Linked DNA regions of Daphnia pulex. The protein of the gene in region 3 purifies or fractionates together with the protein of the main gene of each other region. This does not show direct contact. Links are inferred from orthologs where the notes say so. Each region holds a gene or a part of one and is shown on either strand. Other genes may lie near its edges. The genes, in order: 14-3-3 protein epsilon, protein ECT2-like, kinesin-like protein KIF23 and ADP-ribosylation factor 6.

Region 1 (7,523 bases), on a different chromosome or scaffold from region 3:
CCGAACGACGACGGGAAGTGGCTGCTCAAAAAAGAGAAAAGGAAAAGGTATTAATCACGCACGAGATATTGTTCTTTTTTCATCGCTGTAATTTGAATTGGTTTTTTCCCCGTTTACTCAGAAACGAACCATCGATCGCCTTCTCTTGAAGAAGGAAAGTAAACTGAACAAATCCTGTGCTGCGAGTATTTCGGCTTCAACTTCATCAGCCTCTGTTTCCGTCCCCAGTCACGTCTCTTCCTACACGTGGAAACAAACACAAGACGGGGAGATAACATTTAGTGTACCTATTGGAGCTGCTTTTCCATTGGCCCCACAGAGTGTCAAGTATGTAATGTTTTTCAAATGGATAAAACTTAAGTTAATTTGTCTATTATTTTAGAGAACCACCTGCTCGAGTCAACTGTGGAGTGCAAGGATGCACTAATGTCAAGCGCTACTCATGTTCCAAGACGGCAGTGCCACTCTGTAGTATCCAATGTTACCGAAAGAATATGACACTGCACAGAATATCATGATGATGCGTCTAACATAACCAAAATAAAAATGTGTTTAAATAAGAAAAAAATTATTGTTTGTGGAAACCGAGGACAAAAGAATGCGCGCGTGTATTTGACCTAGCTTTCTTTCTGCAGCGGTCATCCTCTTGATTATTTTGTTTTACAACCAGACAGATGATAGAAAAAGGAAAAGGAGATTATTTTTCTTTGCAAAAAAGGAGACTGGTTACATCACGTCGGACCAAAAAAAAAATTCTTTTCCAAAATTCAAATATTTTTTTTTTCTTCTTGGTTTTTTCCCAACTATGATGGTGAGCAAATGTTTGGACACCACAGAGAAATAAATAGGGAATGGCTCGAGCGACATGGAAAAAGTTAAAAACTTAATAGTAGGCCTAATAGTAAATAGTAAAGGGGGGAAAATGCGATACGAAGCCAAGAAATTATTCTTCCATTCGTGTTTTTTTTTACTTTTCAAAAAATCCATTGCCAATTATTTAGTTGCGGAAAGACTGAATCAAATACTTTTCCACAGTTACCTCTACTCGAATTCTTCAGCTTTCCTCTCTCTAGTAGCCCCTGGTAGAAAATTCAATCCCATTTGATACAAATTTGAGGAAATGAAGAAATCGCGGCAGTTTTACAGAAAAGTTGAAAAGACAACAGCAGCTTTTGTTTTAAAAGGTTACACGTGAAGTCTTGTGTGACGCCAGACTACATCGCAGAGAGAGAGAGAGAAAAATTCCGAAGAGAAATTGAAACTGTGAGTGTGTTGTGTATCGTCTGTGTGTGTGTGTGTGCGGGCACGCTGGATCTTCGACGAATAAAACGACGAGGAAGATCCAAGAGATAACGGAAATGATTATTGGAAATTAAAGAGAGACAGAGGGCAGGGACAACGGGAATGACAACAAAAACCACACACAGCCTTTGCTTATTAATTATTTTTTGTTTGTTTTGTTTTTGAGGAGTTATACACGTGTCCATGCAAACCGTTTCGGTAATTGTTGTAATGCAGTTTCCAGTGTTCGATGAAGAGCGCGGGATGAACAATTAGAGGGAGGGGGAGCGAATGGGAGACAGATAAGAGTAAAGGAAACATAGGTGGTGGATTTCCGGATTACTTTTTTTTTTGTTGAAAAAAAAAAATTAATAATATAATGAAAAAATTGAACAAATCATGTAGGACTTAAGAAAAAAAAACACATCAATACAAATTACATCGCCGATTAGGAGACGTCTTGGTCCTCAACGTCTGCGACTTCCGCTTTTGGTTCACCATCTCCTTGATCAATTTTTTTAAAAAAGGAAATTTTAATTATTAACACACACAAGTCCTGTTGGCGTGATTGGACAAAAATCAATTAGCTGTTGCTCTACTAACCAGCTTCTCCATCGCCCTGCATGTCGGAAGTCCAGAGGGTCAAGTTGTCCCTCAAGAGCTGCATGATGAGCGTCGAGTCCTTGTACGACTCCTCCGAAAGGGTGTCGAGCTCAGCGATGGCGTCATCGAAAGCTGCCTTGGCTAACCGGCACGCTCGGTCCGGAGAGTTGAGGATTTCGTAATAAAAGACGGAAAAGTTCAAGGCCAATCCCAATCTACAAATGATAAAGTTAAGTTGAGGATCGGCAACAAATTGTTAGTTAAGTTACCTGATGGGATGGGTGGGGGGTAATTCCGTCATGGCAATGTCGGAGGCGGCTTTGTAAGCCATCAACGAGTTCTCTGCAGCTTCCTTTCGGTCATTTCCTGTCGCAAATTCGGCCAAATACCGATGGTAATCACCCTTCCTGTATAACACAACGACAAAAGCAGAGGAAGGGAGTTGTGTAAAATCGTCAATAATCAATACCAGGCCATCCATCCACAACATGTCTGCGCGCACACAAAGTTGCGCTTGGCGCAACGTTTACGTACGATAAAATTGTGTACACGTTTGGTAGAGATAGTAACGACACTTTTTCTTTTCTCTCAAAGCGAAACACGAGTAGAATTCGAAATCACAGACGCTCGAGTCTCAAGGACTTTGAGAGAAATCCACCGGTGCATTTAATAGGAATGTCCAACTACTACTCGCAAGATTGAAAAAAAAAAGGCCAAGCAAAAATCGATTTACATTTTGTAGTAAAAGACTTTAGATTCTCCAGTGGTGGCTGATGGGATGAGATGCTTCTCGAGGACGCTCAAAATATCAGAGCAAATGTCCTTCAGCTCTTTCTCGACCTATAGACAAAACAGATAAAGGCACAAATCAATGAATAAAATTTGAATACATTATCCATACCTGATTGCGGTAATTGCGGATGAGTTCAAGTTTATCTTCGGCTCCCTTGTTCTCCTCTTTCTGTTCAATGGACGAGATGATGCGCCAAGATGCACGACGAGCGCCGATCACATTTTTGTAAGCCACGCTCAGCAGATTCCGCTCCTCGACAGTCAACTCGACGTCCATCGACGCCACCTTTTTCATGGACTCGACCATTTCTGCATCAACAAACAGATTATCATATAGTCTTAGCCAAAGAAACTTGTCAGAGGATCCCTTTCTCTTTTGGACAGAAAAAGATAGATACACTTTCAGACATAAAGGCTTTGCCTTCTTTCCCCCCCATCTCCCTGTCTACCCCACCCCCCACACTCGAGCGACTTTTCAAGTAGCGGATCAATAACGGCCACGGGAGGAAACACGCTACCGCCTAGTTCCGCCCGCTCTCCACACATCCAGCACGTCGCAGTCGTCATATAACCCCCAACATCAGCATCCCCACGGCGGAAGGAAGGAAAAGTACAGGGGCAAACCGAGTTGACGTTACGCACACACACACAAAACTATGTGTGTCCTCTTTTTTTCTAAGGGAGGAATTGAAAAATAAAAGTTTCTCCAGCTGGGCGTACATGTTTGAATTCAGGGAAATAATAATAACCAGACGATCGAGTTGTATGCACGGACAGGCTCTCCACTTGGATTCACATCGCAGTGGCGTAATGACAGGTTCTAGGGCGACACACCCACACCGCATTTTCTCTTCTTTCCAACTTCCCTCCATCATTGAAACGTGAAGGGGGGGGGGGGGAATAAAGTTAAAAATATAAAAACTAATTTTTTTTTTCTACAACGACAAAAGGCACGAGACGCGTCACGTGCGACAACTATTTTTTCGAAAATATGTGGAAATAGAAAAACGCCCCATTCATACCAGTTGGAATATTTTCCTAAAGGAAAAAGACGAAAAATAAAAATGGTGGCTAATTTTCCATCGGGTTTCTCCGCCCACTGTCAGAGCTTGACCGATTCTTGGTTTTTGTAAGCCGCAGACAGAAGAGTCGAGAGAAAAATATAGAAGAGAAAATTAACCATCACAGGCGGCCATTGTTGTGTGAACGGTTTCCTTTTTGATGTCCTCGAGAGAGAGAGAGAGAGAGAAGCTTTTTTAGACGGCACGTTTTCATCAACGTAGCCAGGACCCCCAACGCATCACGCACATAAGGGTGGGGTACTCTACCGAGCGTCGTTTTGAAGAGATCCGTCGCCTTGGTGATGCGCAATGGTGAGAGGCCCAAGTTGAATAGAAACGACTACGTATTTTTCACGAAAAAGAGAATAAAAAAGTTATTGGAAAGCAAGTATACAAAGAGACAGTCCAAAGTCTCTGCTCTCTCTCTCTCTCTCTCATGACTCATTGATCCAAGTCATCTCGTTACGTAGCGGTAGGTTTCGAGGAAAACCACCCAGAGATACACACACACACCGGACACACACCCAGAATTACTTTTTTTTTATTTCGTACTGCGACAAAAACCCTCAAAAGAGATTCTAGAAAACATGGCTGAGATTATACTATACTTGATAAAATGGAATTGTCAGGAAAAATGAACCTCAAGTACGAGTGTCATATTGATCGAAAGTATTCAAGCCAACACTAAGAGGGGGGACGCCGCTGAATTTCCCCATTACACAACCGAATGTACAAGAAAAAAGACAAAAAGTCAAAACGTCATAAGTCTGTCAAACGCCCAAGCCTTTTTTCAAAGCCGCCTACCGTCTCGTTCGGTTTTACCCACAGAGATGCACAGTCATAGAGACACAGAGGAAATGAAACTTCATTCTTTTTTTCGATTTTACATTTAAATGACATTTACGTACCATCGTATCTTTCGGCTTGTTCGGCGAGTTTTGCCTTGTAAACGTTATCCTCTCTGTCTGCCATGGCTGCTGGAATAAACTATAAGCAGATGTCACTGGATAAAGAAACAAAAGCGAGACCGTTGGAATCGGAACCTGCCTCGAATTGTCTCGACTAAGACCAAAGAGTGTAGCTAGCAACTGAGACTCCACCGTACGCTTGCTAGAATGCTTTGCCCTGTAGCTAAAGCGGAAAATGCCAGCGAGAGTCGATGGGATGGGAAGAGGCCAGATTGCCAGATCTCGTTTCTTATTACCTATGCATCTAGCAGCGTACAGTGCTGACATCTATACAAGGCCAAACACCTTTGGGGGCTGTCTAATCTTTTAGGTATTTAATTAATTCTTATGAAATAAAACTTTTATTCAAATTTTCTATTATCCGAGTAATGACATGTTCATTCTAATCATTTGATTCTATGCATACTTTTTGTGAATTCATTATTGGATGTCTAGCAACCATCTATTTTGTTACGTAAATATTATTTTATCGTGTTTTTAAAAAGCTTCAAGTTATGAAATCAAGTCATTTTATAGTATTGAAATAATTTTTATAAACGATTTAGTTCGCTGTGGGACGATTGAGATCCCTTGGTTACAAAAGAGACAGCCGCATGGTGTCTCTAGTGGACAATTAGCAATTCAATGACTTGCGAGTTCTTTTGGCTTTTGCGGACCTGAAAGTTGACTATCGAGGAAGCCCAGACGATCCTGCCCAGACGTACCCTTGTTGGCCTTGCAGGCCTGCATTCTTCTCGATACAGCTGTCAGCTTGACCACGCCTGCCAAGCAGCGATGCCACATTCTTTTGTTTTCCTCAGTGCTTTCGAAACACCTAATGTGCTATGTGCATTGCACACGTAGAGCTTTTCCGTCAATGCCATCTCAACGCGAATTCCATTGCAACTCATGTTTATTTCATCATATAAAAACTCACCACACGAAAGTCAATAAATCTACTTCATTTAAAAACAAAGGTTTATTACTCATTCCTTGATTACATACAACATGGCACAAAGGGGCGTTCATTATCACACTTCTGACATGGCCCATGAAGGTGAAACAGAAAAAAAAATTGCATGAAAAACACTTCCATTGTCGATATCCGCCATTGCAAACAAACTCAAGAAAAATATTTTTGGCGTCATTCGAAAATCGTGCGAGTGAGGCATGTCTCGTCGTCTTTTAGTTTTTTTCTTATGAGTGAACAAATTAATACGTTAAAAATGACAAAACTTAGGGAGAAAATAAATGAAAGGTAATTCAAAGGTAATAAGGAAGTCGATTCAGTCCTTCATGCGGTTGCGTCATCATTGATTCACCAACAAGGTACGCCAACTTGTGCGCATACTGGATGGGCGCTGGAATACGCAGGGTACCCTTAAATGAACAAATTGGTTAAATTCAATTCTGAATAAAATAGACAATAAAAATAAAAAAACTTACAGGCCAATTGTAGTAAAGATGGGTAAGAGCATAAGCCAGTCGCTGGTGAATATCAGGGGCGATTCCAGTGTCATCTTCAATAACATTGTAGCTGGTGGGAGAAACGGTACCTTGCGTAACTTTTTGAGACACCAGGAAGAAGTCGAATCTCTCATTGAGCGTCACTTTATTGTCGACAACCGTGCCGCAAGGAGGGTTGCTCGCTCCACGTTGTCCCATGGCGAAAAATCGCGTGTTGATCCGCTTGCTTACGACAATGAACGCAATGGGTGGATTATACACACCAGTCCCGAGGTAATTTGTTCGAGCACCAGCATCGGAACAAGCCTCCTACTCAAGCCAAAAAATGATAATTGTATAGAAAAACGAGCCTCAAAATCTTCCCACAGACCGTCACTCATCATTATTACCCTCAGTGCCGCCACTTCCGTATCCTTCAGTCGCGCAATGTCTCCAGCACCGACACCGTCACGGTAGACAATGATTTTTTCCGGCAATGTTTTTTCGTTCATGATGTAATAAGATCTAATTGTGCGAATGAAAAAGAGATATTATTTTGCACGGAACAAAGAAAGCATAATAAAACATACTTGAGTGCGCCAAAGAGATGATCTTTGAAGCTGGGTGAAATTTCTTCATTGTTTTCATGAATTTTCACAGAAGAATAGTAACGCGAGAAGGTCGGGTTGATGGATGCAACAAATGCACCGACAGCTTTTCTTTGACGTGCATCGTGGTACGTATCATAGCCGATAACCATCCATTTCTACATTCAATAATAGCCAAAAGATAAATTAAGAATTCAAGAAGCAAACGTCTCGATCGAGAAAAGTTACCGTCTGGGGGACTGCAACTCTCCAAGGTTCCGCACCCAACTTCGAAGCAACTTGAATCATAACTTTGGTGGCGATTGACATGAGCTTACCGGGCTGTCCCTTGATATTTCTTCCCGTTATCACCTGTGCAAGAAGATCAAATCTAGTTAAACAATCATGAAGATGCCAACTACGATTCCCTTTCAAACGGATACCTGAGATGGAATGCCGAATTCTGAGATCGTCATCTTCTTGATTGAAGCATACGTATCTGCTCGTGCAGCACGCAACACGCAAAAAATAAGGCTGAATTGCTTTCGACCACATTCCGCTCGAATAGCCTCGACGTAGTTTGACGTACGGTCCATTTGCATATTAATACTATTATTGAAAATCGTAATTTAAGAATGAATTGAATATTAAATATATTAGAAAAATGGTCGCATACTATTCAGGTTGCGGGATGTTAAAACCCTGTTGAGCTCCAACTTGCTTCATCATATTAACGAAGGGTGTGATTTCTTGCATCATTGCTGACGGCGTAAATACAACCCAATCCTGTAATTCCACAGACACAC
Region 2 (7,734 bases), on a different chromosome or scaffold from region 3:
TACATCTTAATTGACGCCCGAATTAGACGGAAATTTTCAAAATGTTTTCGCATCCTTCTTTTTTTTTCTTTCTTCTTACCTTGACGTTTGACAGTCAGGCAAATATTTCACTTGAACATTTTCCAGACGCTGGCTCATTTCGTTCCCGCTGTCTGCCGCTGTATTGTGGTTTCTTGGTTGAATACGTCAAGTATGAGTAGTTTTCAAGAAACTGAGATAAACCTTCCTCAGTCAAACGAACACAACTTGTGCTGAGAAACTAGGCTACTAGGGACACTGTGATAATTACACAGCCCACCTGTAAAAAACCTGTGGGAATGCCCCAAATGAAAATTTTGAATGGGACTTGAGTAGGGGCTACCACCCCATGCCTACATCTTGAAACAAACAAATAATATGGTACCATAGGAGTTGACGTGTTGAGGCTAACTCGACCGAGTCAACGTTGATGTGTGTATTAGAAATTTAGTTTTTCGTTTGATCTACTAGAAAGCAGAGACTAATCAAAAGAAATTGTAAAAGAAATGAAGTATTGCCAGATGCAAAGCCAGCGTAAGGAGCGGGGGATTAGCTGGGACGAACAAAGCATGATAAAATAGTTTTCTCATAATAGAATATAACAGGTGACCGAACATATCGGCATTCTTCAAATCATGTGGGAGGGAAAAGGTTGCCCTGCTTCCGTTGTTACTCTTCCGCTCTATCAAAACAGATTCCAACATCCCGCTAAAGTAAAATACCATCGTCACACAAAATGATGCTCATAATTACTTTAGCTGCCAAGCCCATGTCCTGTAAAATTTGTTTAAAGGGGGGTAGATGCTCACAAAAATGGAGGGAAGACGAGCTACTAGCCTATCCAAAACACACACAAATAATAATAATTGGGGGAAAAAAAAGAAGGTATATGATACATAATGGGAAGACGATAGGCACCCAGAATTGTGAGGATATGATAAATGGTTCATGAAATTGGCTCATAAGAGGAGAAAAATCGCGTTCGCTTGAAGTGAAATCTGGTTCCGCGGTTGGTTCGCCTTTCATTATGTCTATTTTCTAATTTGGTTGAATACTCCGCTGAATGCCAGTTTACAAACGTTTATGCGCATTAAACCCAAGGGAATTGCTCTTGAAATTTTTTAAAGTCGAAGAACTCGGTGTCGTTTTTAGTCCAGTGTCAGAATCCATCATCTTGATAAAGAAAACGGAACATTTCTAACATGGATCTAAATAGTGATTGATAAATTTAAAAAGCCTTACCGCCAAGTTGGCACAACTAGCCGCCATGCCCACCGCTCCGCCGTTCATCATGGGGCTAACAAGAGAGGTATCGCCGAGAATTGAGGTGTTTGAAGACCTCAGCGGACTCATTACTGTGCTCATTGCTCTTTTCAGACGGTTCGGCGTTTTGCTGAAACTGAACGCTCGGTTAACGGCCATGCGAGTCTTTGATGCAAGTCTAAAAAGAAAAATTCAGATATATTTTATGGCTTTTCTTAGGTAAACTTATTTGAGAAATAAAGCGATTTACCTAGCGGCTCTTCTTAGAGTGCCCGAAGCTAAGTCACCTGTATCTATATCAAGCTGACGAGCTTCCATGCACGCCAGGTAGTTTTCCTGTGAAAGCAAAGAATATTGTTAATATACGGATTCTTATTATGTACATTATATATTGAAAGCATGTACCGCGTCCGCCCTGCAGGTGATGTTTGCCATCAATCGACAAAGAGTTTTCAAGAATGCAACTTTGTCTACGTCTTCTGAAGTAATTTCGAACGAATAAAGGCGCTCTTTTGTTTCGTAGTGACTCCGGCAAATTAAGGCAAACACATTTTGACAGTCTAAAACAAAGTTGCGAATGAAGTGATAGACTGGGATGGTCCTATGGCAAAAAAAGATTTACCTTCTGTTTCCGTAATGTCGATAACCCTTTTAACATGGGAAACCGATATTAATTCGACATGCTTGTAAGTAGGTTTGCTTCCTTTATCAGCACCTCCTCTTGGCGGCTGGAGGCTGATTGTGCTAACATCCCTCCTTAAAGTATTACCTCTTGATCGACGCTTGCATATCTATACAAAAAAATAATAATAAATAAATAAATATACAAAAAGTTAAAAATAAAATATGCGAACTAAGCAAATGGCTTTAAATTTACCTCAATGACGTCGGAGAATAAAAAGAGTGTCAGCTGCCCACCACGACCAACAATACCATCGCCCAATTCAATAACGTCGCATTGGGATACAAAGCTACGATGGGAAGAAACAATATGTGCCTAAATTTCAATTTGAAATAATGTAAAAATGAGTTGAAATTTAACATCTATTTTAATTAAAAGAAAAATTATTTAAATGACAAAATTTAACGAAGCTTACAGGACAGTTTTCGATGTCGTTGAAAATGTCAAAAAGGACAACTTGACCCTCAGTCCTCCGTTTGTCTTCATTGATGTGCGTCATTACTTCTTTGATCGTGGACAGAGCTTTCTCCAGTTCACCGTAATCCGGATTGCTTTTTGGGGTCTGCTTGAGTAAATCGTTCAAAAGCAAACTAATGGATGGTAGTCGTTGAACAGGACGAATAAGAAGCTCTTGTAGGCTCTGCCGTCGACATTTGGGATTACTCTGACCCAGTTTAAGGAATGCGTGGAAACGTGGCTTCGATCGGTCGCTCATGCTCAACACTTCTTTGGTTTGCTCAAAAAAGTTGACAAAAGGAGGGTAGGCCTTAACCAAGTCATGCGACTACAAAAGTAAAATATACAGTTATGTAAACGAATATGCTGGGTATGCGAAAATTCTTTACTTACATGCTTCAAAATTAAAGCTCCGACGCTGATGTCTTCTCTCCAGTTGAGTGCGGTATTTTTAAGTTGCACAAGTAACTCGAAATGGATTTCATGGATAGGCGGTAGATTGCCAAAAATGATTTTGACCTCCGTGGGATCAAGCAAAGAGCCTCCAACTTGGCTAGGATCCTCAAGTGGCTTTTTGAACACCTAGGGATGAAATGTTGAATTTATATATTGTGGTAAATAACGCGCAATAAATAACACCAAACCTCAACAATTGTCTCCAGTATTTCCACATAATTCATTTCCGTATGCAACAATTCCATGAACACCTGATGTCGAGGGGACATTGCTTTGAGATCCTGTGGTGTAGGAACGGAAATGGTGAGATCACCTTGACCCCCCACTTTCTCGGGACTCGTGGCATCTAGAAACGATCCACTTAGGCTGAGTAAGCCAGATTCACTAATCGAGGAACGGCGGCGATGAGTGTCTATGAATAAACAACATTTTCGTTAGTCATTAAAAGGGGGAAAAACTCCAAGCAATAAACATTTGTACCATGACCAGACGATGGAACTTGAAGTAAGCCAGGCGATCCTCCTTGAGCAGCAAGTTGAGACACTGTGTCTCTCAAGCGTTTACGCTTGCGGTTTCGAGATCCTGGAGTTGTGGGTGACAATACCCCATTCCTTGGGCTCGTCAAATGAGTCTGTAAAAATCCCGGGTTTTTAGAAGCGTTGAGTAAACAAAAGAATATCAATTATTACCTCTTTATAAGGATAAAGTTTTTCACTGGCACAAATATCCATTTGAATTGAAACCCAAAACCATTTAACTTCAACCAACATAGCTTTACTGGGTAGCTTCTCTGGAATGTTTCCAACTCCAAGGGGGTCTATTACCTATTAAAAGGATTTCGTAAAATTCCACCATTGTAAATCTTATTGACATGAAACTTACCACATGCGTGCAGTTAGGATCATCCAATGTAGTTACAGATCCTCCGTTGGTAGTCAAAATTTCGTTCATTTGAGTAACCTCCTCGTCATTAATACCTATCCAGCAAACATTGGTGCCCTCAAAAATCTTGAGTGCGTTGTTCGTTTGCTGCAAAACGGAAAATATTTGATGTGGTAAATAAATTTCAATAATGACAATGAAATAATACCATTGTGGAGTCAATGGCACGAACACTTAGATCGTGACGTTTTTCCCACGCTAAGTGGACCCACGAAGCACTCATAACTGGAATATTGAATGTGACTGCATACTGATATTTCTCTCCTCCAACTTTATTGGCAATAAGGTGGGTGATTTTGTTACAGTCAAATTCCTTTCGAATGCTGCCACCCATGTGATGGATACAAGAGACCAGTGTGTTCTAGTGATGGTAAAACATTATTCCAATTGTTAAATGATTGGAAAATTGCATTTCTTTTAAAGCAACTCACCACTTCCTCTCGATTTCTAAAGCCAGTGAAGCAGGATACTACATTCTCCATTGAAATAGAAAACAATGGCCGATCAAGTTCAGGCATAAAATACTTCTTAGAAACTATGTCAAGCAAAGCTGAGTAGCCCAGAATCCTGCATTCCTTCTTGTACAGAACCTCAAACACTTCATCGGAAAACTCATACAGAACAAACACTGTGTCATGCTGAGGGTTAACAAATTCAAGACCATCTTCTGAATGGAATACTGGTACTCCAAAACTCTAGAAAGTACATTTTTACAAATAACAACTTTGACATTTTAAATGTATAAAAACTTACTTCGGCAGCTTCTTGAACCCCTTTCACATCACACACTCTTCCCACTAAACATATCTTGGATGTAATAACTGAAATATTTACAAAAATATTTAATAGAAGTGACAGTTCTACATGATAGTAAAAATTTTTATACCTGGATGAGAATCCTCTTTATTCCTGCGAGATTTCTTGGACGGGGTTTGTAGAGTAAGGTAATTCATAGAAGCAGACACTGAACCAGACATGTCATACGTTGTCTCCATCATTTTGATTTAAAATAAAATCCACGGGTTGTAACGTTTGAAAATCAAACTCCCAAAATTTTTCTCAACCGTATAACAAACAAGACTGGAGCTCACAATCGAATTTCAAAAAACAATAAGTAGGCGAGCCATTTCTTCGAGTTTATTGTGCAACTGTAAACCACACTGGACTGCCTTGCATAAATGAAAAAGCCGAAATTTCAAATTTCATACAGCGTTGCCAGACAGTTTGCCCGTGTTTATACGAAAATTTTCCATTATCCTACCGCGACTCCGCGACCGTTATAAACACCATCACATCAATGCATACGTGTGTGTTGGTATGCACCTGCGGTAGAGGATCCTTTCTTTATCTCGGTGCTCACCAAACCCTAAGATGATGACAAACACTTTCAGTTTGCACACCTGGTGACTCGCCTGTTGAGGCATATACTTTAATTCCATTATTTTACCTGCTATTTTTAATACTTTAATTTTTTATAATTTAATTTTTAATAATTTCAATCGATTTTCAGAGTTTTCTGTTATAAACTTAAAATGAACAGGCTACACGTTAATCAATTTTAATTATTAATTCAAATTTTCTATAAATTAAAATAATATTTGGAGTCCAAATTTCACCTAATCTAAATAATGTCTTTCGTTCCAGGTTCTGAAAATATTGTATTATCAAACACAAAAAATTTTTATTTCGAGTTCTAATGTTCTAATGTCTCAACATTTTGAAAACAATTCAAAATATTTTTAAAATATTATTTTGAGCCCAATGTCAGGTCATAGATAAAGACGACTGGTTGATTGTCTCCTATCCTTTTAGCCCTATCCCTACTGACCCCGAGTTCTTGGAGTGCTTGTAGTGCCTCTAGCGGATAAAGTACTGTACTGTACCGAGGCTACGAAGGGTTTTGCAGACGAAGATTGTTTTCCTTCTGTCTTGGTAAAATTCTTGGCTGGCGTTTAAAAGTCCTAGGTAATTTTGTCATAACATTTTTATTAAGAAGTCACATTGTATTTAATTTTGACGTTTTTCAATGGCAAAAGCAGAGAAATCAATTAATTCATTGCAATTGAATAGAATTAAGCAGAGTGTAGAGATGCAAACGTACACTAGACACTAGAGGGCAGGACAAGTAGTCCAAGATCGGAGAAATCGGAGGAAGGGTACACGATTTATGGCAACAGTTGGCCATGTTAATTCTCTTATGGAGAGAGTCAACCAGTGGTCTTTATCTGTGGTCAGGTATAGGGCTGTTCGACTTGTTTTTTTTACAATTGTTACCATCGCCGCAACGCAGCATTTTAGTCAAGATGATGTCTGCTACAATTGTCCGCCCCACCTTGTCTGACCAATTGACGTAGGTCACATGATGTCAGATTTTGTCTGACAAAGCCAGAGAGCCCGCGAACAAAACGATCAAAACCTTTAACGAGAAAGTTTTAATAGTTTGAGCGATTCGTCTAAATGAGGAAAGATGGGAAATGGCCGTCTGTCGAATGTTTGTGGGGGCGTTCGGGAGTTATAGCCTCCCAAAGAGGCGAAATTTTGAAGAAAAATCAAAACTTTTTACGATGAAAAAAATTAACACCAAAAAAAGAGCGTGAAAAACTTTATCAAATGGTATGCAGTCAGACGTTAAAATCCGGGGAGAAATAGGGAACAGGACGCAGGTGGGTAAAGTTTTTCCCACACCTGCCAGTACTTTTTCCAAATGGCAACACCGCCTCCTAACCGCGAAATTTAAAAATCCTCATATTCTGTGGGAATTTTTAGTCTTTAATCCCGAAGTAAGATTCGTCTGCTTTCCTCTGCTCTCTCTAAGGAGAGTTGTATGCAGGGGATGGGAGATAATGGGGACATACAGCCAACGAAGGTCTTATTATTGTTATTATTGTCCTTCATTTTAGACCAATAGAAATTATACAGATCTTCATATTTGTAGAGTACAAAAAATTGCTGCTATCAGAGAGGGAAAACGGCTAAATGTGCCTTTTTACTAAATTGGTCATATCTCGACAAATAAAATATATTAAAAAAACTTTTGCAATTTGGTGGTTGAGATAGCAATTAATCTGTCCATGAAATTAGTTTTTTCTATAGCTCCCCCGCTTTTCATTTTCATAAAGCGATGCAAAAGCCCTCGGCTCCGCCCCGCCCCCCACCCCCCGCATTTATTTCAAAAATAGGCTTTTGTTAAGATGTCATTACAAAGTAATTGTGAATGGTTTTACAGTGTCATCTAAACGGATTCTCATTGCGTACGGGTTTGAAATATCATGTAGATTTGCTGGCTATATAGAAAGCGTCGCAGTCGCTTAATCCATTTTCGCCTTCATTCATTATTGAATTGATTTTTTGCATTTGTTAACAACCCCAAATTCAATGATTGAAAACTCATTGCTTGTCTCTTTTTTAATAAACTAAAAGTGCATGGCACTGGAGCATGCCAAAATTTTATTAAATTCATTTGACGCAGTTCGTTTTGTCCTCGTTCCTCTGTCTTGAACACTTCCATGGTAAAGACAAATTATTTATAATTCAATTCTCAGCACTTTTTAGTCAATTACTTAATATCTTTTTAAATAATTCATTCCAAAAAGACTCACACCAAAAATAAATTGTTGGTGAAGCTACTATAATCAAAAATATAAAAATAATCAAACCTGTCTAAACATGAATAAAAATGCAAAATAATTTGTATAACGACACATAAATTTAAAAAGAACTAGCCCCATCATTCAAACAATGATAAGGATTCTAGAAAGGCACAGAAAAGTGATTGGTACCCTGTGACCATTTTATTGTTGCTACCATGGCTACTAGTCAGTTGTTCATATAGCATTGTATTTATGTTTAGTAAGGAACAGAATTGAAATATCACTGAAATTCAATAATATTATCCCATATTTTATATTACATGAAGT
Region 3 (7,677 bases):
TGTTGTAAAACTTTGGCTGCAGAGGTGAGTGATAATGATTTTGAACATATCAATCAAAAAAGATTATTCTCCGTCGATTATGGAACACGTAGGTGAAAACTGAGTCGACGTTCCTTCTTATTGGCTAACACTTTTCTACACCAGTGATATTTTGTTGCCTGCTGTGGAACCAGTGGAACTGCCATCCCATTGATTCCCATGTAGACTGGAGATCTCGTTATGGTACTAAACGGATGGATCTGGCAGTTCATGTAATGGCTGACACTCGATCTGGGTTCACTTTATGAGGTACTTGTTCTTCTTCATCACTTGATTTTTCATAAGCCAACAAGACATCTTAAACAGTCACAACTCACACAACTGTAACTTAAACACTCACAACACTGTACTTGAAAGGCTTATTGTTGTTTTCAAGCTAAGTTATGGGGTAACCTTGTCCCGTAAAAAACACACAGAACAAAATCTTCTTGTATCACTTCTTTCTTTCACTTTTATCAGCACAGAGAGATTGAATATGCAGGACTGCAGGTGAAACAATGCATACCTCACTTCTTGTACCGAAGTTATCTGGGAATCCTGGATTGTTTCTAACATTTTTTTTACTGGACGGCTCAGACTCAACCCACCACATTTAAATATTAATTCAACGGTTGAAACTTCTTTACAACGCCATGCTGAGTTTGCAGCCTCACAATTCATAAGTTATTCTTCATTTTTACACTGCAGACGAACTTCCGTAAGGACTGGAAAGCAGTGCTGCCGCTCTGCCAGCCAATTTCCGAAGCTCGATGTCGCTAACTCGCTATTTCTTCCTCCACAAAAATAACTCGCTATTTCTTCCTCCACAAAAATAACCTTTTTACTCTATTTTCGACATCTTCGAAAGAAATGTATGTAAATACTTGCGATAACGTTTGGCGAAAGCCCTAAATAGAACGTATGAATAATCACATGTTCTTCTTACCTTAACGTAACGCATAACTGATTAACTTCCACGATCTCACCTTGTCAGAGGGGAGAGTATGTAAGTGGAGAGATGTCTGAGTTAGTGAGTTTCAAGACAAACCAATTGTTGACATAGCTGTTCGGTGTATTATGTATTAACGAAATACGATAGTAAAGTTATAATGCACATGTAAAAGAAATACAAAAAATTTTTCAAGACGAATTGCTAAAAGTGAAGCGAAAAAAGCAGGGGCGAGAGAGGGAAATCCGCTAACCTAGTTCAAGAAATTTTGTTCGTCGATCAGTTCGGGCAGGGTAGCAAGTTCTTTCAAGGGCAGTGCTTTTTAACGCGACCGTGTCCTTCAATGGCGTAGCCGCAACGGTTCTCAATATCAGCAACACGACTGTGTACATCCTTTAGTCTGCCATCACTATGGCGCTTGGCAGCAGTTGGTGACGAATGTCGAAGAATCTCAACGTCTTGCAGCACAACCTTTCGAAATAGAGAAATTAAAAAATCTGGGTATTCAAAAACAATTAACTAAGTATTTACCTGAGCTCCACCACCGACAGTAGTCAACACGTCGCCTTTATAAAGTTTCGTTTCGATTTCTCCGGACGAATCCTAAGAAAGACAAAAATAAAAACATCCTTTAAGTATAAGCTTGGTTGGAATGTGCTGTTAGTGATCCAATAATTTACCTGTTCTTGCGTTGTCAGAACGTATTTCGAAACCTTTGGATCGGTGATCGTTTTGGAATCTACTAATTTAGTAATGGATTTAGCACGATTCATTTGTGGTTGGAAAACGGTATCTGTTTCAAGAGTGTTTTCTGGGCGATGGTCTATCCATCCCTTACCAGGATCTACAGAACGTGATCGGCGTTTCCTAGTGGATACAACTGGTCCCTACAAAAAAAATACAAATTAGACAATCTTGATCGACCCAGAGGGAATTTTAGCATCTTACTCTTAAAGAAGGGGTTCCAACGACTCTGGGATCAGAGACGCGATGTGTAGCTCCAATCGAAGGCGTGCGTGATTCGGATTCGCTAGATCCACTTGTGCCAGGAACTTTAACTGAGCAGCCGGCATCCAGCAAGTCGCGCATAACCAGAAATCTTTCTGTTTGTCGCTGAAGTTGAGATTCTACTTGCTTATAACGGTCCAGTTCTTTCTTTAACTTTTCGCGTTCCAATTGCCGTTTTGTCTTCTCCTTGGCTTTTACGTGTTGGATTTCCATCTCACCCTGATTAAGAAGGCAATCTTTCTCCTTCAACTCTTCTTCCAACAACCTTAAATGAGAAAGACGAAAATTAAAAACTGGTGAATAGCCGTTTTTATCTGGGAATATTTACCTGGCGTATTTTTGATGCTCGAGTACATGGCGCTGTAAGGTAGCGTTAGCCGATTCCGCATTGAGGACACGGTTTTCAAATGTTTGACAACGCGAACGCTCATCTTTTAATTGCTCGTTCAAACTCAAGTTCTCTTGACGTTTCAAAATGAGCTCCTCTTCCATTTCACGAATAAGAGTTCGGACTTCGACACATTTCTTCATTTGCTGCTCCCGGCGACTCTGTTGATCACGGATTCGCACCTTTGAGAAAGGAATTACACACGTGTATAGCATTCGCAAATTTATGCTGAAATATAAAACAACTACCTGCAGATACTCAACCAAGGCCGTTATAAGTCGATCATCCGATGCTGATTGTAATTCCAGAGGAGGCCACGAACAGCGAGCCGCACTGAAAACCATATCAATGTCAAACGGCACTTCTGATTGGGGGTTCGAAATTCCACCCTGCAAAATCACATTGAAGTTAAATATGAGACTAATAAACTCGCATTGATGGAATAAAAACCTGTTCCAGTTTGCGATATGCCTCGGTTAGAACACGATTGGCCTTTCTGCGGCCTGGGAGAAGGGCGTCTCTTCCAGCTGGCGTTGCTCGAGGAGTAGCTTCCAAGCGAATATTGGGCTGTACGGCACGAGCGATTTGCACTTCTTGAGCCATTTCAGCAAAACGCATCACGGAAAGAGTTTCGTCGTAATCATCCGCACGCGGGTTCACGCAAACAATCATTCTAACCTTTCCTTCGCCGTCAAAGTAACTCTGTTTACAAAACATTTTAGCATTTAGTAATATTAGATACATTATGAACTTGACAGGACGCTTACCTTGAAAAGATGTGTGATTTTAGAATCACGGTAGGGCACCATTTTATTAGTGCCATTCAATTGGTTTTCGCGCAGAATTTCCAAGCAAGATCGAAGCGTCATCAAGGTGTTGTTGATGCTACCAGCTTCACGCAAACGTTCGCCAGTGGTTTTAGTTCGACTGTTTCTTTCTGAACCAGCAAGATCAACTAATGAGAGCTGTCCTACAGTTAGCACCTTCTCTGGAATGGCACCCTTAAAATTAACAATTGATTAGTTTTTTAATTAAAATCGCAGACTTAGTGATCGATCGATGATACCTGGTAATCAAGCGGAGCCTGAACAACGCGGATGTTAAATACGGAGTGGCTTCTACTCGACTCTGCGTTGAGAGTAGTGTGAGCAACACGGCGTCGCTTTTGTCCCTTGGCAAGAACTTCAGCAGCTTCATCGGCCGACTTAACTTCAACTTCAGTCACAGCATGAACATACCTGCAAATAAATAGGTTAAAGCAGCTCACCTTAACAAGTGAACTGTTCACTTACATATTGTGATGTTGGTCTTCTCGTAAGATTTTTGATTGTATCTTGCCAGGTCGAAGAGGATCGATAGGAGTATCGTCCAACAGATCGAAGACTGTATTGTTGTAAACTTCAACAAACGTTACAAAAACTGAATAAGCCTGGTCTTCATCTAATGCTGAAATCCGTGTAGCATCCGTTACGCGCGGCCCTTCGTTCTCTTGTCCTCTGCGTGCAGGTGTCCTAAAGTATCGCAATTATAATTAGATTGTTTCAAAAATTTTTAAGAATTTGGTATTCTTACTTGAACTTGTTTGAAGTTTGAGCTTCAGATTGCCTTTCTGATAATGCATCAATTTCACTTTGGATTTCAAAACTGTTCATTTTATCTGGTTTGAAGATATACTTTTTAGCCTGGTAGATTGAAGATTAGTTAGTACAACTGTATTGCGACATTTTTATTTTTGAAATACCTGGTAGTGACCAATGCTGTTAAAAATAACATCCAAACAACGAGGGATAATGCCACCATCCTGCAGCTCACCATTCATTGTGTGTGTTTTTCCTGATCCTGTGACTCCATAGGCAAATAGCAAGCTATTCTTTCCATGAAGCAAGTCTTCTATTAGCGGTAAAGTCACAGTGTGGAAAATAGGTTTCTGTGTGGTCTTCTCGTCAAACACACCAGTGAATGTATATTGTGTTGCCTATCAAAAAGAAAGCAAGATTAAAATACTGAAAGTACTTTCAAAAATAAATTGCTGGGAAATAAAGTGTCAACTTACTTTTGTCGTTCCACTTCTGTAACCTTGAGAAGTTTCTGGAGGTACAACTTGAACTACAGTGTCACTTAAAACAGTTACACACGAATCATCAGAGGGGACATCAAGAGGTCTGATTCTGCAATACACTTGCACAGGATCCCGATCTCTGGAAGTCATCAATGCTTGTTTGGACCGTGCTGGGGTAATTGGTGGTTTGGTTGGCACCTTAGGTGCAATCTTCAATCGCCTAAGATCAACATAAAACATATTCTTAACTTCTTTCGTATACAAAGCATAGTGAAAAAAAGAGCATAATCGGACATGAAGAGAGCACGAAACACAAATCACACACTAATACGGTTTGTAGAAAACTTACGATGGTTTCATTTTCGAGCCTATTCGGTTCAGTACTTATGAACCCCTGTCAAATATTTAAAACGAATGAGGGATTTCAAAATGTAAACCGATTTGTCTGTGCAGTGGGCAAACTTTTTGGCCGTTGTCGATTGTCGTTTCATTCAAACTGAGTGCAGCATCGCCAAATCGCCAGGTGTGAATTCGAAATACAGCGTTGCCAGTAACCTGACTTATTTATGACATTGAAATTTGAAAATTCGAATACAAATATTAAACGTATTTTAACAACTTTTTATTTCATTACAGAGGTAATCACTTCAGAAAATTTATTGTAATGAATACACATTTTTAAATTATCATTAAAAAAATTAGTTCATGGTTTGGGGAGTCTATACATTCCAGAGGAGAAAGACAACAACTGTTGCTTAACTTTTGAATCAAGGAAATTTTTCAACTGTTGCAGAGTGCACTCTGCCCCACTAGAGCCTTGCATTGTAAACATTTTAAGCATCTGGTGAATACGCTCAACTGGAAGGGCTTCGAGATTTGTCAGCATGCCAACAACGTACGACCAATAAACTTGCAAACCATCTTCTTCCGTTTTTTTCTCACTATCTTCCTCGTCGTCATCTTCTTCTTCTTCCTCCATTTTCGCTAGCGTTTCTAAAAGAATCTACGAAAAGGACGTAATTGCAAAATACATACATTTGAGAAACGGTAATAACTTTTTAAGATATACCTTATGTCCTGTGAAATTTGGTCCATTTTCATCCACTTTGAAGCGATCAGTAGAAATTTCCTGGAGGACCCCGTGTGTTTGCCACACGTGAACTCGCCTTCGAAGATGAGACATTGGTAATTCCATTTCCTGGCTAAGCTCTTCCAAATCCCATTGATCCTTGTCTTCAAAATGAGATATGATGGCAGCCAAATCGGGCGGGACGGTGAAAGACACGCAACGGTGATTATCAAACTCCAGTTCCAGTTCCACAGAACCCGACTGAGGTACCCAATGCAGAGAACGACTCGTTTTCACCGTTTTATAGTTTTGATTATATTGTTCGAGCTGGTTGATGATTTTGATCGGCAACTTCATCGGTTTGTCCTTCAGCTGGTCCCAATACTGAGCTGATATAATCATAGCCGAAATCGGAAACTGGATGGAAATAAATAGAAAAAAAATTAACTTTTATTTATCGATGCGCTAAACGAATTAAAAACGTACTTCAGGTTTGTGCACGACCGACTGTAGGTGGGTGTTGATTCTCTTGGAGTCTGCCACGTCCTTGAGCATCACTTCGCAATTGTGCAATTCGTTTTCTCCAAATCGAATTTTGAGAAATTCTAAATTACGAATCTCTTCTTCTGTGTCAAAATGAAGGTTCAGGAGCAATCGATCCGACAAAAGCTTGCGATATTCCTTGACAAACAGGCTTTTACTGCCGTAGATGTTCACCAACATTGGTACAATATCGCCCTTTTAAATAAGAATTTGTTTTACAGAACCGAAACTATTTTAAAAACATCTTTATTAACAAGATGAAATTACCGGCTTTTTTCCTGTCCAAAGTTTGCTAGGATCGGCATCGCTTGGTGCTGGAAGCCAATTTTCCCAATCGGTTGAGGCTTCGGTATCTCCAACTGCTGCAACAGATTCTTCATCCAGTATAGCAGTTCCCGTTCTTCCCAACTCAAGCTCTCCGCCCAGCTCTCCGCTACTGTCAGTCAAACTGTGAATTATATGCCGAACAGTGTCTCCTCTAAGTCGCAAATATTGCCTGTTGGAAATAGTTGAATACATCATAAGCCAAAAGTGACGGATCGAAATTGAATAATAATAATACTTGATCGGATCACACGCTACATCGAGAAGCACGCCAGTGGGATCAAGTACGCTAAACGCTCTTATGGCCGATACGTAGGCGATTAGTATGTCTTCTGTTGTGGCTCCCTGGTGAAGCAATCTTGCTTCTAAAGTCGTTTTAAGAGACTGCGCCAAAATTGGTTTCAACTGCGTCCGTGAAAGGCATTCCTGTAAATCCTTTACCGAAGGAAAGCTCTCGGGGTAGCCTATTACAAGAAAGATTATGAAACAATGAACACAATACATGATTTGGAATTGACGAACCGATAATGATCTCGAATAACTGTTCGATTCTAGCGTGTGTATAGGCGTGGTACAGGAATTGGGTAAAATTTTTTCGCACTTGATCCTGTTGGATGTAGTCTTCTCCATAGACGATACCTAACCACCGAAAAATTATGTTTTGCAACCACTGCAAATGGTTCAGAACAAGAAACGAACAGGGTGATTCAAATGCCCATTAAGACCATTAGCACATTAATAAAATACCTTTTCAAGCATTTCAATTTGAGAAGAGGAAAAGTTTCCTACACATGAATCCTGGACATGTGATTGGATTTGAGTCAAAATGAGAGTGTGAATCATCCCCACAGATAGTTTCTCAAGTATTCCTATTTCAGCCAAAGCCCTAAAAAAATAAATATGATCAAATGTGCTGAAACATAATCAAAGAGAAAAATGTTTTTTTTTTTTACTTGTTGGTGTTATGACAATTGTCTAGAATGACATTACATTCACATTGATCAATTTCTTGGTCACACCCTGAACAGTGAGTGATAACATCACCAGACTCATCTCCATCTTGAGTAGAAAGATGTAAATTAAAAATTCAATTATAAACCTACTTTAGAACAAGTATAATACCAAAGTTAAAATTCCTTTTTTCTAAAGACATGAATGCTCTGAAAGCTCGGCTGTAGAAGAAATTCACACAGCATTCAAACTTTGGTGGTATCTGAGACAGCAAAATTGCACTGAGGTGTGCCTGATATTGGGCGAATGATTTTGGCGTGACATTTCCTGACAGGTGATCCAACAAGGAAAAGTAATGCTGAAGGCTT
Region 4 (7,549 bases), on a different chromosome or scaffold from region 3:
CATCCTCGTCGGATGGCAGGCACACGGCGCATTCCAACGCAAAAGCTGTCACACACACAAAAAACGATAGTTTTTAATCAAACCTCCCAAATCAGTTGTGTGTGACCTTCTGTGGAGAAAGAAATGCCATCCCTTGTTTCTTTAAACCCGTTTTTATGACGCGGGAGGAACGAAGAGGAGTAGGAATAAGGAGTGGGTGGGTGGTGGGTCAGCGACGTGACTCTTAATGTCAACCGAGTAGGGAGTTGAAAACACGTTTAATACCAAGGACCGGACGTTCGTTCAAGGATAAACTAAGCGAATCGAATTCACTTGCCTTGTCTTGTGATGCACAAAGTGATGGTGGCGACGAGGAAGAACAGGCAGACTCTGAAGAATCCCATAACCATTTATATATTTTCTTTGTTTAACTTGGGCTGGCACAGTGGCTCGGTTGACGATCCGTCCTCTGTCGCATCTATACCTGTTCTGTGCAGCTGAGCAGCAGCTGAGACAACTAAGGTTCTCTCCATTGGTAGCCGCCTCTCCGTCGTTCGTGATTATCCAGTACGCTTTGCATATAGTCGGGCGATTGTTGACAACAACCGGTTGCAGCGTGTTATTCTTTTCTTTCTTGTGTTTGACGGAAAACATCTGGAAGACACCATCATGAATAGATGGCTCCTGAATAAGCGCACGAGTGCGTCACGATTTGAGGAGGCAGAATGCGCATCTCCATCCATTTTCACCTTTAGAGGGATTTTTTTTCCTCTCTCACCTTTGTTGCCCGATCGATTCGAATGCTCTCACGTCCCCCTCACTCTTTGTAGTTCAGGATTCTTCCGTGGTTTGCATAATGGATAGGGTTTCCAGTGCAGTTTTATCTCTAACGTAATACCTTCCGTCGACTGACGCCCACCACTGTCAATCGAGCTTAATTGGCGGTGACAAAAGAATGAGAGGATAATTGTGGCAGCAACGTCTGTTGAGGGGGGGAATTTTGTGTTTTTCTCTCTCCTTTTGTTAGCCAGCACACAAAAGCGTTGGGTGGAAGATATCGGGTGTACATAGCTCCCGCCCATATCCTTCTAATTAAGAATGGGGAAAATGGCTGTTGGAATGTTCTTTTCTTTCTCTCTATATTCCGTTCCATCGTTTTCCGGCATGAAAATTGAAAGTAATGCTTGTCCGTAGCGGAAACGCCGTTTCATTGTTTACCACCAGGCTCGATTGTTTTGTAAATTTGAATAGCCACTTTCAATTCGTTACGTACTGACTACGCTAACGGCTCTTGGATTTGTTAGTGGCATGCAGAATTTGGCGGTGTGTAATTAATGGCATTTCTGTTGTTGTTTCTCTCTGTGTGTGCGTGCAGAGGCTCGACAGCATGGCGTGGGTTTTTACTCGTTTTCCAAGGATGAAGAGGAACGTGCAAAGCAGATGGAGGAGCTGGAAAGAATTCGAAAATTGACGGAGGCGGCCCGAGCACAGACAACTCAAACATCAGCAGATAAACAATCAGCGTTGGAGGCGCGATTAAAGAAAGTTCGGGATCGCAAACGGCAAAAATTGGGCTTACCTCCTTTGAGTATAAGAAGTGTGAGATTGATGGGCGTCTAAAATGACTGTAATTTGTTTATTTGTCTGCTTGTATTTGCAGAAGAACATCCTAAACGTCTGCCCACACCTCCGGAGCCTGAAGCCCCGCCCACTACTGACAGCGCAAAGGAAGCGGAAGATAACTTGAGAAAGTCGGCAGCTCGAGGATTGCCTCAATCTGCCAAAATCAGACCTTGGGATTTTGGCAAAGAAGGTGTCCCCAAGAAACCTGGTACTAATGTGTTTATCTGAGTCTCTTTTTTAACGAGTAGATTATGTTACGGTTCTCTTGTTTCATCGAATTCTCTAGTTATGACTCAGAGCAGCTGGGTCGAGAAGAAACGGGAGGAACGAAAGGAAGAATTTGCACCTCCTTCCGCTTTCACGGAGAGTACCGATACGTCAAGGCCGAGGAAGTTCGCTAAGCATCAAGATCCAATTATAAAAACGGAGCCAGTGATCAGCGAGGATTCTATTATTTCTGGATTGGCTTTCATGAAGCAGATGCAATTTCCCAGCAGGTCTGGCGTACAGCCATCGCCTCCCAATAGATATGATGGGAAAAAAGACGTCGTTGAAGAAGAAGAAGAAAACGACGATGATTTAATGCCTCCTGGGGAGACGGACGAACCCCACGTAGCAGAGCCTTCATCTAGATGGCGATCAGTGCCAAGTCGAGGAGCTGAAATTGCACCACCCTCCTCCATGGACTATTACAACAACTCGTCAGCACGAAGAGGCGTGTCTAGCCACCGGACGGATGTATCACAGTCATTCAGTGTAGGTATCAACCAACGGAAAAATGCTGGTGATGACAACTCGTCACCAGCGAAAGGAGCGACTCGTCCCAAGTGGGATTTTTCTCAATAAGACATTGGACACCATATGCTTGCTCACAATATACTACACCACAAATTGTCCCTGAAGGGTTATATTGTCTGGTTACTACTACTACCGGACACACATTAATAGAGGAGCGCCCTTTTCTTTTATTGACAAGAGAATGGTTGAATTTGAAAATGAGGACAACGGATGGCCAGTTGGATAACGGAGTTTTCGAAAAAGGCGATTCGAAAACCCGTGCATCCTGCAAATGACTCGCCCTAATTCTTGTTTGATCAGGCGGTGTTAACGTTCGACAAATGACCTAGAAAATCAACTTTCAACATGTCATAGATCCATGTATTAGAGGCAGTGTCAAGAAGTCGCGACTGTTATTTTTGTTTTTCAGAGGACGACCGAGTAATCAAAAGGGAGTTTAGCAAGTCCGGCATTCGGTAAAATAAAAACTGGAACAAATTATGTAATTATATTTACTTAGGTACAAGCAAAAAAATTTTTACCGCGCATTCATCATACATCTACACACTGTGGGCTAGATTCAACATTCTAATGCAATTGAGTAAAAAAGGGATTAAAATAGGGGGGACCGGAAAAGAGATGGTGGAGGCCGAACTCGAGGGATATGGGGAATGGTTGAAAATTTTAGGAGCAAAACTTACACATAACAGGGGATGGGAGAAACAATCGATTATGAAAAGAGTAAAACATAAACGGACGCGGGAATCAAACGGATGCAAATTTATGCAATACAACCCAAAGTTTGAAACAGAAGAGGAGGAGGATTTGTCGTCGTCGTCAAGTTTTTTTTTTTTTTTCATTCAGCACAACAATTTTGGAAGAGCTCGTGTTGTGGGCTTCGTGAGAACAGACCCCACAATATTTTTGTTTTGTTTCAAATTAACTGTGGGCTGCCCTCGCGTCCGGTACGGTATTGATTATTTGATGCCATAGCGCACTTTGGCAACACACTATTGCAGTGAGATGCCATCTTCAATCATATAGTCTTAGTTATTTGTTTCCTAAATCTTTCCTCTACGCCCCACGACCTTGTTGAATTTTGTTATACACAGCACTTGAACGAATGATTCATTACGATTTGTGATTAGATGTTAACCACGTTAGTCCTTCATACAAGCCGTCGCCTGTTGTGGCACATGCTGGCTGGACGTACCAGTTCCGATCACGAATACGAGTCAGCCCCAGTTTTTCTTGAATTTCGTGTGGTTTCATGGCTGTCAACATGAAAATGTCGTGAATAAATTGGGGTTCCACAGTCTCAATTATAATAATTGTAAAATACTCACCATCCTGGAGGTCTTGTTTATTTGCAAATATAAGGATGATGGCATCACGCATCTCACGATCGTTTATGATCCTATGAAGTTCTTGTCTAGCTTCGTCAATTCGATCTCGATCTGCGCAGTCCACAACGAATATCAAACCTTGGGTACCAGTATAATAGTGTCGCCACAGTGGGCGGATCTTATCTTGGCCACCAACATCCTGCAGTAATGATTCATATTTTAGTGTTGGGTTTAGAAATTTGATGGGTGAGGTCAAAAGGAACTAGCTTACCCAAACATTGAATTTGACATTTTTATATGTTACAGTTTCAACATTGAATCCAACGGTGGGAATTGTTGTGACTGACTGTCCTAATTTCAGCTTGTATAGAATTGCTATTTTGAAAAACAAAAATAATAAGTATAACTTGGAAAAAAACCAATGCTATCAGACAACACATAAAATTCTTTATCTCACTTGTTTTTCCAGCTGCATCCAGCCCCAGCATGAGTATCCTCATTTCCTTGTTTCCGAATATTTTGGACAGTATTTTCCCCATTCTCCTAATCAGCTCACTAACAAGCTGTTTTACAAGAAAAGAACTTTATTTCAAGCAACAAAATGACCCTGTCAGCCACAGCCATATAGTTTATCCACATCTGTAGAACTGAAGTGTCAAACTAGTTTGGTAACTTTTCAGTGACATTTGTGGCAAAAGTTGTTATCAGAAAAAAATAAACAGACTTTGCTCAGTCATTTACAGCATACTAGCTAACATACTATTATCAGATCAGGTTTTCCACTTACTTTAATGTAGACTCAACAATGACGTTTACTGGAATTTTAGCTGTAATATGGAAGTATTTTCGAAGGCATTCCTATGAACCGGAGTCGTTATTTGCACAAACACTATTTTGTTTTTGATGTGAGCACTAAGAAATCGATGGAAGGCGTTGGAAACAGGCGAAAATAAATAGTTTCTTTGCTTCTTCAGATAAAAAGGCACCTGTCACTTCAGTTAGCCGCCCAAACACCCGACCCGGTCTTCCCGATATCTTTGCAAGTCTTCAGAAGATCCAAAAAACTCGGGCCTTCCAATGTAATGAACAGACAGAATAGTACTCCTTGCATCTCACCAGATGGCTTTTTTTTCCTTCTTCCAATTTTGGTGACGGCGGCGTCTGAAAACAACTAGCTATTTCAGACTTTAACACATTCCACTCAACTAATCAATTATTTCTATTATTACACTTATTCAAGTGGAATAACGAGAGGAATGACATACACACACCAGTGTAATTGAGCAGATGGAATTCCAACACTGACAGCCAGTGTCCCCTTTTCTGCCCACCTTCTGATCCGCCCACCCAAGCTTCGATTTGATTCGATTTCAAAACCATTCCCTAACCGTCAACGTGTTCCCTCCCACATCTTTAAAATGTATTATTGAAACAACGAGTGATAAATTATTTTATTATAATTTTTAATGCAGGATTCATTGGTTCGAAAGGGGAAAATTTATTTAGCAGTTTCTAACATTTCTAAAAATTTGATCGGCAATACGGCAAGTGTTTAGTAGCGACGTCTATAATTTCAATTTAAGTAGCGGTCTCTGGCGTCAAGATTACGAAAGAAAAGTTGAAATTCATGAACACATTTTTCTTTTTAGGTTGCCGGAAGTCGACAAAATGCCTCAAGCCGGATCCCTATCTCCTCCCTTAACCCCCCGCAGCAACAGCTAACAGGTTGTCTCGGCTATCAAAGTGCATTTAAGGAAGCTGAATTACTCATTTTACAACTGAAACATTTCACCATGTAAGCCGCTAGCCGTAGTCTTTTGTTTTTTTTCCAAAAGAAGCATATTCACCATAAATATGTTCATGGTTTGTACATAGTGTTTCTATACAGTCACCGCCACCATGTTATGACGTTTTTTTGATGGATTGTTATTTCTTGTTGTTGCTTTTCGGACACATGTGTACTTGACTACTCAAAAGATTTGCTTTTCTCCCACAATACTTATTACTGGTTAGGTATTTTTCTATAAATAAGCACACTAGTGCTTGTTGCCTGGAAAGATTTATTTTAGCTCCTTTCTTTTATTACAGTACAAAACAGTTATTTATTAAGAAATAAAATGGAGACATCGAAGTAGAATTTCGAAACCGCACATTATTATGCTATGACGATAAAAAAAAAGCGGTAGAACCACCAAAAATATTCGGTTAAACTTTCGAGCGGATATATTTAGTGGAATATAGCGTGAGGTAAATTTTGAAGTGTGTGTCTAATCGATGTCCTTGAGTTCAATATCTTCGACGATCCGGTGAAAACTGCACGAAGTCATGCGGAGCTTTGAATACTTTGGTGTTTCGAAACAGTTGATAATAAGCTGAAACTCGTAAAACCACCGCCATTGCGATCAAATAGTGCGATGTGTAAAATCTAGCTACGACATAAGTAATTTCCTACAAAGTAAGTAGTAAGTAGGTAGTTGCTATATACAATAAATGAGTGATTTATTGTAACGTCATAATGAGGTCCAAATTCCTAAATTCCGACATTAATTTTCTCAGATTTATTTCGTGATTCTTAGGCACTTCAAGGTAAACGAGATTCCTCACGGTTGCCAATCCCTGGATAGAACTTGGCGAAAGGTCTCCATGGATTTTGGTCACGGCCTCTTTATCCTGATCCTGCTATCAGCTAATAAAACTCAGATAAAACTATCGTGTTTGCATTGTGTTGCCTAGAAGCAGCATAATCAGATTTTCAGTGGATTACAGCAACATCAATTGCTGGGTACTGGTCACAGTCTGCAATAACATGTCATACAATATTACGTGCCATAGGAGACGGCAAAAGTCACGTCATTCTTTATTTCAATTTAAGTTCTTAGATGGCGCAGTAGTCGTCTTCAATTTCATTCGCCAACAGAGGACTCTGCACTCTGGTGATCCGATGAGTGGCCCACTGGCCCTGAATAGAGTATGCAATGGCAACGAAAAAAACATTGAGTGAAAATTCAGACAACAAACGCGTGTATATGGTCGTTCCGTATTAAGATTAAGACAATTTTTTGTGAAAATGTCGTCATCCAAAGTGGTCCCTATCCTTTCAACCGCGGGTGCTATCCCTGTGAAAAATGACAAAGGGGAGATATCTATGCAAAAAGTTAAAGTCAATCGTTACGTATCAGGCAAACGACCAGACTACGCTACTACACATTCATCTTCAGATGATAGTGATGAAGAAGAGTTTATCAGACCAAGAAAGCAGGCAAGAGGAAGACCAGTAGAAGAAAGGTATTAAATTATTGATTGTAGATATGTATTTATATGCTTGTATATTTAAAAAATTTGATTAAATTGTAGTCCTGAAAAAGAATGGGACGAAACCCCAGATCTTCCACTTACTGCTCACAGTGACAGAAGATTAAAACGTCTTTTAAATCGTGAAGTTGACGACCATAGAATTGAAAGGCATCGTCATATCCATGAGCCTGAAATTATTGGAACAGAAGAAGATGAAGTAACACCTCATTTAGAAAGTGAAGAAGTAAGTTTTAGCAAAAATGCCCGAAGATGGGAATCAAGTGAAGAAGAGGATGAGGCAGAAGATCTTGATGAAGATGACATTGAGCGCAGAAGAATGATTGCACGTCAGAAGGCTGTTATTAAACAGCAAGAAGAAGTAAGTTAATATACTTTGTAGTATGATCATTGATCAATTCAATTCAATTGCAAATTTTGTTGTAGGAGTTGTTGGCAAGAGAGGAGGAGAAGGAAAGTGAGGAAGATGAAGATGACGAAGCTTCAGAATATGAAGAATATACAGGTTTGAA

The links.
Region 1: the proteins of kinesin-like protein KIF23 (region 3) and 14-3-3 protein epsilon purify together in Homo sapiens (affinity purification with mass spectrometry; 4 studies listed by BioGRID and IntAct, with this or other methods). This does not show direct contact. The link is inferred for Daphnia pulex from reciprocal best matches to the Homo sapiens genes KIF23 and YWHAE.
Region 2: the proteins of kinesin-like protein KIF23 (region 3) and protein ECT2-like purify together in Homo sapiens (co-immunoprecipitation; 3 studies listed by BioGRID and IntAct, with this or other methods). This does not show direct contact. The link is inferred for Daphnia pulex from reciprocal best matches to the Homo sapiens genes KIF23 and ECT2.
Region 4: the proteins of kinesin-like protein KIF23 (region 3) and ADP-ribosylation factor 6 purify together in Homo sapiens (affinity purification with western blotting; 3 studies listed by BioGRID and IntAct, with this or other methods). This does not show direct contact. The link is inferred for Daphnia pulex from reciprocal best matches to the Homo sapiens genes KIF23 and ARF6.

The regions. Positions count from the first base shown.
Region 1 is NC_060024.1:10,587,366-10,594,888, reverse strand, and holds 14-3-3 protein epsilon, read right to left. Parts: upstream 4,877-7,523; 5' UTR 4,710-4,876; coding exon 4,646-4,709; intron 2,986-4,645; coding exon 2,786-2,985; intron 2,725-2,785; coding exon 2,618-2,724; intron 2,292-2,617; coding exon 2,154-2,291; intron 2,100-2,153; coding exon 1,885-2,099; intron 1,792-1,884; coding exon 1,730-1,791; 3' UTR 1,342-1,729; downstream 1-1,341. Other genes in the region: INO80 complex subunit B-like, read left to right, coding at 1-47, 122-327, 383-518; piwi-like protein Siwi, read right to left, coding at 5,948-6,064, 6,131-6,460, 6,541-6,655, 6,721-6,896, 6,967-7,089, 7,161-7,326, 7,394-7,523. UniProt on the Homo sapiens protein: Adapter protein implicated in the regulation of a large spectrum of both general and specialized signaling pathways. Binds to a large number of partners, usually by recognition of a phosphoserine or phosphothreonine motif.
Region 2 is NC_060024.1:8,171,828-8,179,561, reverse strand, and holds protein ECT2-like, read right to left. Parts: upstream 5,011-7,734; 5' UTR 4,816-5,010; coding exon 4,704-4,815; intron 4,639-4,703; coding exon 4,571-4,638; intron 4,513-4,570; coding exon 4,249-4,512; intron 4,179-4,248; coding exon 3,966-4,178; intron 3,905-3,965; coding exon 3,758-3,904; intron 3,700-3,757; coding exon 3,565-3,699; intron 3,507-3,564; coding exon 3,356-3,506; intron 3,288-3,355; coding exon 3,064-3,287; intron 3,002-3,063; coding exon 2,813-3,001; intron 2,748-2,812; coding exon 2,379-2,747; intron 2,279-2,378; coding exon 2,159-2,278; intron 2,073-2,158; coding exon 1,904-2,072; intron 1,842-1,903; coding exon 1,687-1,841; intron 1,618-1,686; coding exon 1,532-1,617; intron 1,460-1,531; coding exon 1,261-1,459; intron 1,192-1,260; coding exon 1,090-1,191; 3' UTR 412-1,089; downstream 1-411. UniProt on the Homo sapiens protein: Guanine nucleotide exchange factor (GEF) that catalyzes the exchange of GDP for GTP. Promotes guanine nucleotide exchange on the Rho family members of small GTPases, like RHOA, RHOC, RAC1 and CDC42.
Region 3 is NC_060023.1:8,669,555-8,677,231, forward strand, and holds kinesin-like protein KIF23, read right to left. Parts: upstream 4,961-7,677; 5' UTR 4,783-4,960; coding exon 4,772-4,782; intron 4,643-4,771; coding exon 4,417-4,642; intron 4,339-4,416; coding exon 4,105-4,338; intron 4,046-4,104; coding exon 3,936-4,045; intron 3,875-3,935; coding exon 3,656-3,874; intron 3,602-3,655; coding exon 3,430-3,601; intron 3,365-3,429; coding exon 3,131-3,364; intron 3,066-3,130; coding exon 2,814-3,065; intron 2,753-2,813; coding exon 2,612-2,752; intron 2,546-2,611; coding exon 2,304-2,545; intron 2,241-2,303; coding exon 1,916-2,240; intron 1,855-1,915; coding exon 1,648-1,854; intron 1,571-1,647; coding exon 1,499-1,570; intron 1,439-1,498; coding exon 1,274-1,438; 3' UTR 1,070-1,273; downstream 1-1,069. Other genes in the region: anaphase-promoting complex subunit 2-like, read right to left, coding at 5,126-5,425, 5,492-5,908, 5,978-6,229, 6,302-6,530, 6,597-6,822, 6,881-7,028, 7,106-7,244, 7,312-7,417 and 1 more.
Region 4 is NC_060019.1:11,266,071-11,273,619, reverse strand, and holds ADP-ribosylation factor 6, read right to left. Parts: upstream 5,106-7,549; 5' UTR 4,513-5,105; intron 4,289-4,512; 5' UTR 4,265-4,288; coding exon 4,183-4,264; intron 4,101-4,182; coding exon 3,997-4,100; intron 3,925-3,996; coding exon 3,726-3,924; intron 3,654-3,725; coding exon 3,511-3,653; 3' UTR 2,866-3,510; downstream 1-2,865. Other genes in the region: uncharacterized protein LOC124189974, read right to left, coding at 1-45, 317-389; coiled-coil domain-containing protein 174-like, read left to right, coding at 1,355-1,576, 1,640-1,810, 1,889-2,448; microfibrillar-associated protein 1-like, read left to right, coding at 6,793-7,010, 7,080-7,398, 7,464-7,542. UniProt on the Homo sapiens protein: GTP-binding protein involved in protein trafficking that regulates endocytic recycling and cytoskeleton remodeling. GTP-bound form plays an important role in the transport of multiple palmitoylated proteins form the Golgi to the plasma membrane.